Diceros bicornis minor: one gene and its partner. The protein of the gene in region 2 interacts with the protein of the main gene of each other region in a pairwise test. Links are inferred from orthologs where the notes say so. Each region holds a gene or a part of one and is shown on either strand. Other genes may lie near its edges.

The links.
Region 1: the proteins of EFHC2 (region 2) and NCDN interact in binary tests that used the Homo sapiens proteins (3 or more experiments, as listed by UniProt). The two-hybrid records come from large-scale screens. The link is inferred for Diceros bicornis minor from reciprocal best matches to the Homo sapiens genes EFHC2 and NCDN.

Annotation. Positions count from the first base shown.
Region 1 is NC_080752.1:49,869,389-49,873,132, reverse strand, and holds the start of NCDN (neurochondrin), read right to left. Parts: upstream 2,717-3,744; 5' UTR 2,524-2,716; exon of another isoform or gene 2,258-2,523; 5' UTR 2,223-2,257; coding exon 2,190-2,222; exon of another isoform or gene 1,440-2,189; intron 1,338-1,439; coding exon 1,167-1,337; intron 51-1,166; coding exon 1-50. UniProt on the Homo sapiens protein: Probably involved in signal transduction in the nervous system, via increasing cell surface localization of GRM5/mGluR5 and positively regulating its signaling. Required for the spatial learning process.
Region 2 is NC_080781.1:38,621,444-38,625,187, forward strand, and holds the start of EFHC2 (EF-hand domain-containing family member C2), read right to left. Parts: upstream 2,406-3,744; 5' UTR 2,346-2,405; coding exon 2,304-2,345; intron 1-2,303. UniProt on the Homo sapiens protein: Microtubule inner protein (MIP) part of the dynein-decorated doublet microtubules (DMTs) in cilia axoneme, which is required for motile cilia beating.

The DNA of each region.
Region 1 (3,744 bases), on a different chromosome or scaffold from region 2:
CGCCGCCGAGTTTTGGCATCGATGTCACCTGCTTTGACTGCCTTGGTCACCTAAGGGGGTATGTGCTGTCAGTAGGATGAAAGAAAGAGGTGGAAAAGACTATCCCCTGCACCCTGGTGCATTGACCATTAGCAGGATTAAGTTATGTAATGGGACTCACTCTGGGCTCAGGAAGCCTCCCAGAGGTCATTTCATCCTGCTTCTTCCTTCTCCCCAGAGACAGACAGGTGTGAGCTCTGGGACTCCTCATCTATGATTATAATTGCGGAAAGGAGGTCTAGTCCTCCTCAACTACTCATTCTGCTGCTTCATCACCCGGTGAGTTGGGAAGTTCCTCCTGATGTCTAATCTAAATGCCCAGCCAGCACTGGAATGCCTACAACCTGAGTTGGAAGGGGCTTAGAATTCCGTGTTTAAAATTCTCCAAGGATTTAGGGTCCCTCCCTAATTGTTCCCTCCAGAGAAGTCTCTCATCCATTCCTGCCACCTTCTCAGGGGAAATGGCTCCTGTGTCTCGCCGCTCTGCCTGTCAAAACATTTCCCCTTACATTTCACCTAAACACCTCCTCTGCTGCAGTGTGAGCCCTTGACTCTGGAGCCTTCTCCTTGTTGCCATGGCAAACAGTGGCTGTACTCCCTCCTCCCTTCACCCCCCACACACCAACCCCCCCTTCCCAGCACTGCAGCTCCTGCTCTGCTGTCCCCAGCTGGGGTGCCTCCAATAGGGTGAAGCCCCAAATCAGATCCCTTACCCTCAACCTACCTACTGCCATCCTGGCCATCCCCTGGGACCCCTTCCTGGTCACTTCCAGTTTTGCTACTCTCTCCACCCCCAGAACAATCATCCCCAGCCCTCAAGTACTCTGCACTAGTTACTACCTGCTGCTGTTACCCTATGAGTCAGCTCCCATCTGCTCTGGGACGCCCCAGAGAGCAGACCCAGGCAGCCTCCTCCAAGGCTCCTAGGGCCACAAGCCTTATTCACCCCCATTCTCCCCTTTGCCTCCATATTCAGAGGAGCAAAAAAGAGTCCAAAGGTAGGCGTCTTAAGCCTTCTTTGGTGTCTCCAGGGTTGCCTATATATCATTGGGGACTTGTTGACCCCATTCCTAGGGGGCCCAACCACCCAGCCCTTCCCACCTCCCAATTTTCAGTCAGTTCCTTACTAGCAGCAGGGCTGCAAACTGCTCGCTGTCATTCTTGGCCTCACGGAGGGCTCCTAGGTAGCGCTCCAGGGTGGGGTTTCGGCCCTCTGCCTGGTTCAGAGCTGGCTCGCAATCCGAGGCCATGATGCCCGCCTTGCCCAACTGTGAACACAAGAGGGACTGAGCATCCCTCTGCAGAGGAGAGGTGGGGGTGGGGGTGGGAGCGGAGGATGGAGGGAGGGATTAGCACAGAGGGAGGGGAGGATCAAGAGGAATGGGCTCCTCAGGACTAACCTCCCTTGGGGAGCCTCTTTAAGGGGCCGGACCCTCAAATCCTTAGGGATGAAGAAGGGACCTGGTCCAAGGTCACCTCCAGAAAGCGGGAAAGAAGAACCATGCATCCTGCTGCTCCGCTGGACAGCTCTCCTCACCAATCTCCTGGGGGTGGGAGGAGGCTGGCCCCACTGCTCAGCTGTCCCCTAGCACCAGAGGCGGGGTTTTATCTCCCTCCACCAAGCACACATGGAGGGAGTGGTAAGAACAGACAGGGAGGAATGGAGACATACATGAGTGAAGTTCGATTATCCGGACTCAGGAGGACATGAGGGAAAAGGGCATCCTAGGTTTCCTTTCCTCTCTCTTCTTCAGAAGAGGCAGGAGACCAGCTTCAGCAGAACTGAGGATGCAGGGCGCTGACCAGGGAAGGTTTGGAAGCCCCTCTGGAGACCCCACCCCTCCAGCCAGGGCTCTCAGTCGCCCCCGCAGGCTCCTTGCCTCCTCTCCTTTCCCTCCCTCGGGCAGAAGCTGCAGCAGCAGCAGCAGCAGCAGCAGCAGCAGAAGCAGCAGCAGAATTAACCCCTTGCGCTCCCTCTCTTAGCCCTCCCTGCCCCGCTACCAGCCTGTGGACGGCGGCAGGGGCTGGAGAAGCAAGAAGGGGTCCCGGGTAGCTTCCAGGACAACGGAGACTCCAAAAGCCAGATAATCGAAGCGAGGCTGCTGAGATGGGGAGATGAGAAGGGGAGGAGGGATCCTGGCGGTCACCACCTGTCCCGCTGCAGCCAGGTCACAACACGACATTGATGAAGTCACGACAAGGCGGCGATGAGCTCACACTTCACGATGGCGCGGTGATGTCACGGAGATCACGGCAAAATCACGACATGGGACAGCCCCCAAAGATGACAAGGCAAATTAAAAAAACAGAGCTATATATTGAAAAGGGCTGTGACAAAATGGAGTCTCGACAGGGCACGATGATGTCGCGATATGGCGCGATGGAGTCGCGATAGGGTCCCCGGGGTGTGTCGCATCGATCAGCGCCGGCTCGGAGAAGCCCCGGCTGGGATGTAGGGGTGGGCCTGAAGGGGGCTGAGCTCACCAGGCTGCGGCCCCGAACGGCGAAGTCTTCTCCGAGCGCGATGCTCCAGGAGCCTGGGGCCGCTGCTCACGCCGCGTTGCCCACTCCCGGCTCCAGGCTGCTGCAGCTCCACCCCCACCCCCGCAGTGCTCTCGACCAATCCGCAGCGGCTTCACTCCAGGCTCTGGCCAATGGCGCGGCTGGGCGCTAAACCGTGGGGGGGTGCTGCCGTTGCCGCCATCTTTTTTGTGGGTATTGCCTGAGTCGGGGGCCTGGGGCTCGCGCAGGGCAGGCGAAGGTGCAGACTGCCTGTGGAGAGCGGGAGGCGACAGCCTGGGGGCCCAAGTTCCGTCGCTCGTGCGTAGTTCTACCCCCCAGCGCTGCCCCTCCTCCTCCTCGGGCTCGCGGCTGGAATTGAGCTTCCGGGGGGCTAGGAAGGCTTGCTTAGCAGGAAGAGTGTGTTTCCGGGTTGAGCCGAAGAGGTGGGAGGAGGCGGCGTTTCCGGCCGCCGTCGCTGTCCAGGGAGGCTGAGGCGACAGGGAGCTGTCCGGGTGGGGAGTCCGCACTACCTTATTCCTCTAACTCCTCCTCTGGGTGAGGGGAGCGAAAGTTGGGGCCCCGACCCCATGGACCGGGAGGAGGCGGAGGCCGCCGAGAGTCGGGGCCCCGCTGTGTGGCCCTGAGCCCCGGTAGGTGGCCGGGGGCGGCTGGCTGCCAGGCCGAGGACCACGAGCTCCGGGGAGGGGCAAGCGGGACGGGCTATTTGTGGGGGTGCGCTGGCCGGGTATTGGGACCCGGAGGTGGCGCTCCTGGCCTGGCTAGGACAGCCAGCTGCTTCTGACTTTACAGGTGCGGATCTCGAGTCCCAGGCTGAACCCCGTTTCTCTCGGGCCCGGGCCTGGTCCTGCAACTTCCTCCATTCCGTGACAGACAGACTGGGCTCGGGGCGCTGCTGTCTTCCTTCCTCCCTCGATGTGTGCAGCCCCGCCTTAGCTGCTGTCTCTGGTCTTTGGTCTCCCCACTAAGAGAAAATTGATGCAGAATAAGGGGGGCGGGGCTGAGCACGATGTGTAAATTATGATGCGAGACCTGCCTGATGCAGGACTTGGAAAATTATGCCCCACAGAGGGTCCTGTGGTGACTGCAGTGAGCACAAAGGTGCAATGAAGGAAGTCAAAGGTGAAAATGTCAGGCGGACTTCCAGGAAAGCTTTGCCGTCTCTCACCTCGTGGTGGCTGTGCC
Region 2 (3,744 bases):
GGCACTACACAACAGACAATATCCAAATAACCAATAAATGTATGAAATGTGCTTAACTTCATTAGGAATCAGGGAAGCGCAGATGAAAACTACAGAGTTGCACTACATCCACTGACCAAAGTAACTAAAATCTAAGACTAACAGTATCAAGTGTTAGAAAGAATGTGGAGCAAGAGGAACATCAAATGCTGGTGGGAATTTAAATTGATATAATCACTTTGACAGTGTCTACTAAAGCTGAACATACGAATACCGTATGATCTAGCAATTGTACCAAGAGACATGAACCAGAATAGCCACAGCAAACTATGCTTAATAAACCCAAACCAAATCTGTCAAGAGAAAAATGTGTATATAAATGACGTCACACTCATACAATGGAATACTATAGAGCAATGAAAATGTACAAACTACCTCGACAGACAGCCACATGAACAAATCACAATGTTGAGCTAAAAAAAGCCAGTCACAAAAGAATTAAACACTGGACATTTCCATTGATAAGTTCAAAAGCAAGCAAAATCTAACTATAGTGACAGCAGCCAGGATAGTGGTTACCTTTAGAGAAAAGGGAAGGGGTAATGACCAGAAAGGGTCATAAGAAGGGTTGCCACATAAAATATAAGATGCTCAGTTAAATTTGAATTTCAGATAAAGAACAAGTCATCTTTTAGTATAAGTAGGTCCCAGGGAATATCTAGGATATGTATTTTTATTTGCTAACTCTGGCAACCGTGTTAAGAGAGATGCTTTTGGAATACTGGTAATATTCTATTTCTTGATGTTCATCCTGTGATCATCCATTGTGCATTTTTCTGTACATGTGTTGTACTTCACAATAAAAAAAAGTTAAAAAAAAAAGCAAAAGTACACTCAGTGCAGCCAGCAGATTTTAAAATATCTCATCCAACCACTGTTTTTCCTTCCCACTCTTAATCACTGCATGTGAGAGCTGGGAAACTTCTGCAGGAGGTGGGCATCTGTAATCTGAAGTGACGCTGGGCGAAAGCTGTGGGCTCTACTTTCAATTTTTATTAAACTTACTTTTATACAGCATGCTTCTTTCCTTCTGGAATCTTTTTTCATGCCCTGCCTCTCAGAGGTCTTTCTTATTTGTGTGGCTGGCTTAACCTTACCACAGGGCAGTGCTAGGCTAGAAGGCCAGCCTCTACCCTATCAGCCAAGAAATACACAAACCACTGTTCAAGAAGCAAGTTGGACTAACCAGCCGATCTGTGGGGGTCAGAATCCAGTGGTCTGAAGCCAGGAAGAAACTGGTACTTGGAGGCCGACAACTTGGACATAGACACTGTTCAGACTCCATAAAATCGAACGCTTCAATCTGCTGCCTGTTTTCCAAATTTATCAGAGGTTTACACAAACACCTTGAGTGGCTCCATCTAGTTCCCTCCCACCAGTGGATTACTTACCTTCTTCCTACAGACACAACGGACATTCCAAGTAAAAAGTAGTGACCAGTGCAAACAAAAGCTTGAATCATTTCTCTGCTGTTGTTTAAATAAGGGGCTATTTCCTGGCAAAAGTTCTTTCCTGCTCAGGGTTTTTTGTGTTGTTATGGTGTTTTGTAACTTCATCTTGTTTTGAAATGAACCCCTCCCAATTCTAAATAAAGAAAAGAACTTTAAGTTTGGGTGCTTCTCTCTATAAAGTTTAGGATCCAACTTTATAAGCTGGTGGAACCCTCACCTATCTGCCCCCTACTAGCCTCCAGTGTGCCAGGTTTCTTCACTTTAATAACAGAAACTTCCTCTAATTAAGGATAATAATTAGGTTCCTGGGCTGTGGAGACAAGTTGCCTGGAAGAAACCCAGCTTCACCACTGAGATTGTGTAGCTCTGGCCAATGAGTGACTCATCGCTCTGTGCCTCAGTTTCCTCAACTGTAAAATGGGAATAAAAATACTACCTAAAACAAAGGGCTGTTGGGAGCATCAAACGCCGTGTAAGGCGATGAAAGCACAGCGCCTGGCACACCTCAAACACTCAACGACGGTTGTAATCATCATCACTACCATCGGCTACCTCTGAGGGTCCTGCCACCTCTAAGGACTCTACTTATGTATCTCATGTAGGAAAAGCATCCAGATGCAGTTTGAGAGATACAGGGAAGGGGAGGCCCAGAACAAGGGTCCCACCAGCCTATAAAGTTTGGTCGAAGTTGTGCCCAATTCACCTAGAAGGCGAAGCAGAGGCAGGAGGCCTCCAGTAGGGTCTAGGAGGAGACCACGCCTGGACCCCACACTCCGGCCGGGACTTCTGACCCTGGGCGCCCTCACTACTCACGTTGCGCTTGAAGCTGTGGCCAGGCAGAAACGGCAGGGCCATGGCTCTGAGCGGCCAGGGCTCAAGGGTCCCGGAGGAAAGGGACCGTCAGGCAGCGGCCGCCCCTCGGCCGCGTCGTTTGACCCCCCCCTCGTTACTTAGAGACGAGAGGCGGCGTCACCGAAGGAGGAGGGGCTGCGGCGGGCCGGGGGCTCTGGGCGGGGCCGGGGAGGGGCGGGGCCAGGCGGGAAGCTCCCCGCGCGCACCTCCTCCCCCGCCCACCCCGGCTCAACTCCGCCGGCACGCACAGGTCCCCCGGGGCTTTTCTTTCCACACGCATTGTGCACAGACAAAGACTGGCAACTGCACCATTCCCCGCCCCCGCCGCTTTCTAGTTTAACCCCTTTCTAGAGCTCAAAGGCTTTCCGGTACTTAAAGCTCCTGCGATTCTTGCCACAACAGTTTTTGCCATTTGGTTATTAAATTTAGTTCAAACAGACAGAAAAGCGCAAAAAAGAATATGACACCCGCGTGCTCGTGCTCACAGAAATGTAACGCTAGTTAATGTTACATTTACATCAGCCTTTATTTTGTAATTAAAACGTTCGAGATGAAGCCAAAGCCACACACACCCCATCCGTCTTCGCCCCTCCCCATGAAAACCCATTCAGCGGTAACCACCATCCTCAGTCCTTCCCCTGTACATTTTTATATTTGAAATAAATATTTGTAAAGTGCTCGTTCCTGGCCCAATCAGGGTGGCCAAGGTGTGGTCAGTTGGCACAAAACGCGGCCCCTGTCACCCAAGATGCCAAGGCCAAGAGCCTCCTCGATTCCTCTCCCCCACACCTACAGCTAGTCCCTCCCTGAGTCCTACTGGTTGGACACGCTGGCATCTCTTAGTCACCACCTCCTCTCTCTCAGTTGAGGCCCCATTATTTCTTGCCTGGTTTTCTTTCAAAAAAAAAACCAACAAACAACTAAATGATCTTGCCTCCAGAGCCATCCTATTACAATTCGTGATGCACCTGTTACTCTTCTGCTTCAATATTCTTCTAGCCTTTCCGCCCGCCGCCTTCAGGATGCAAACTCCTTAGCGTGGTCAGAGATTATGTCGGGGGGGCCTGCCAACGCCCTCCATCCCTGTCTTTGCCCCCCGCCTCTACTCCAGCTCTGAAAAACCACTGCCAGTTTCCAAACCAGACTCTACGGTGTCTTCCCTCTGGGATTTTGCAAATGTCGCTCACTATCTGCTAGAAACACCCTTCCTTCCTATCTTTCACCTGGGTAACCCCTTCTGGTCTTTCAGGACTTGGTTCAGTGTAGGAAAGAGGCATGGAAGTCTTTGCCATTTCTGGAAAATGTTCCTTCACCTTCTCCACTCCCCCATCTGTATTAGATGCTCATTCTAATTGTGGCTTTCCCGGTACTGCGTTGTAATCATGCGTTTACTTGACTCTCT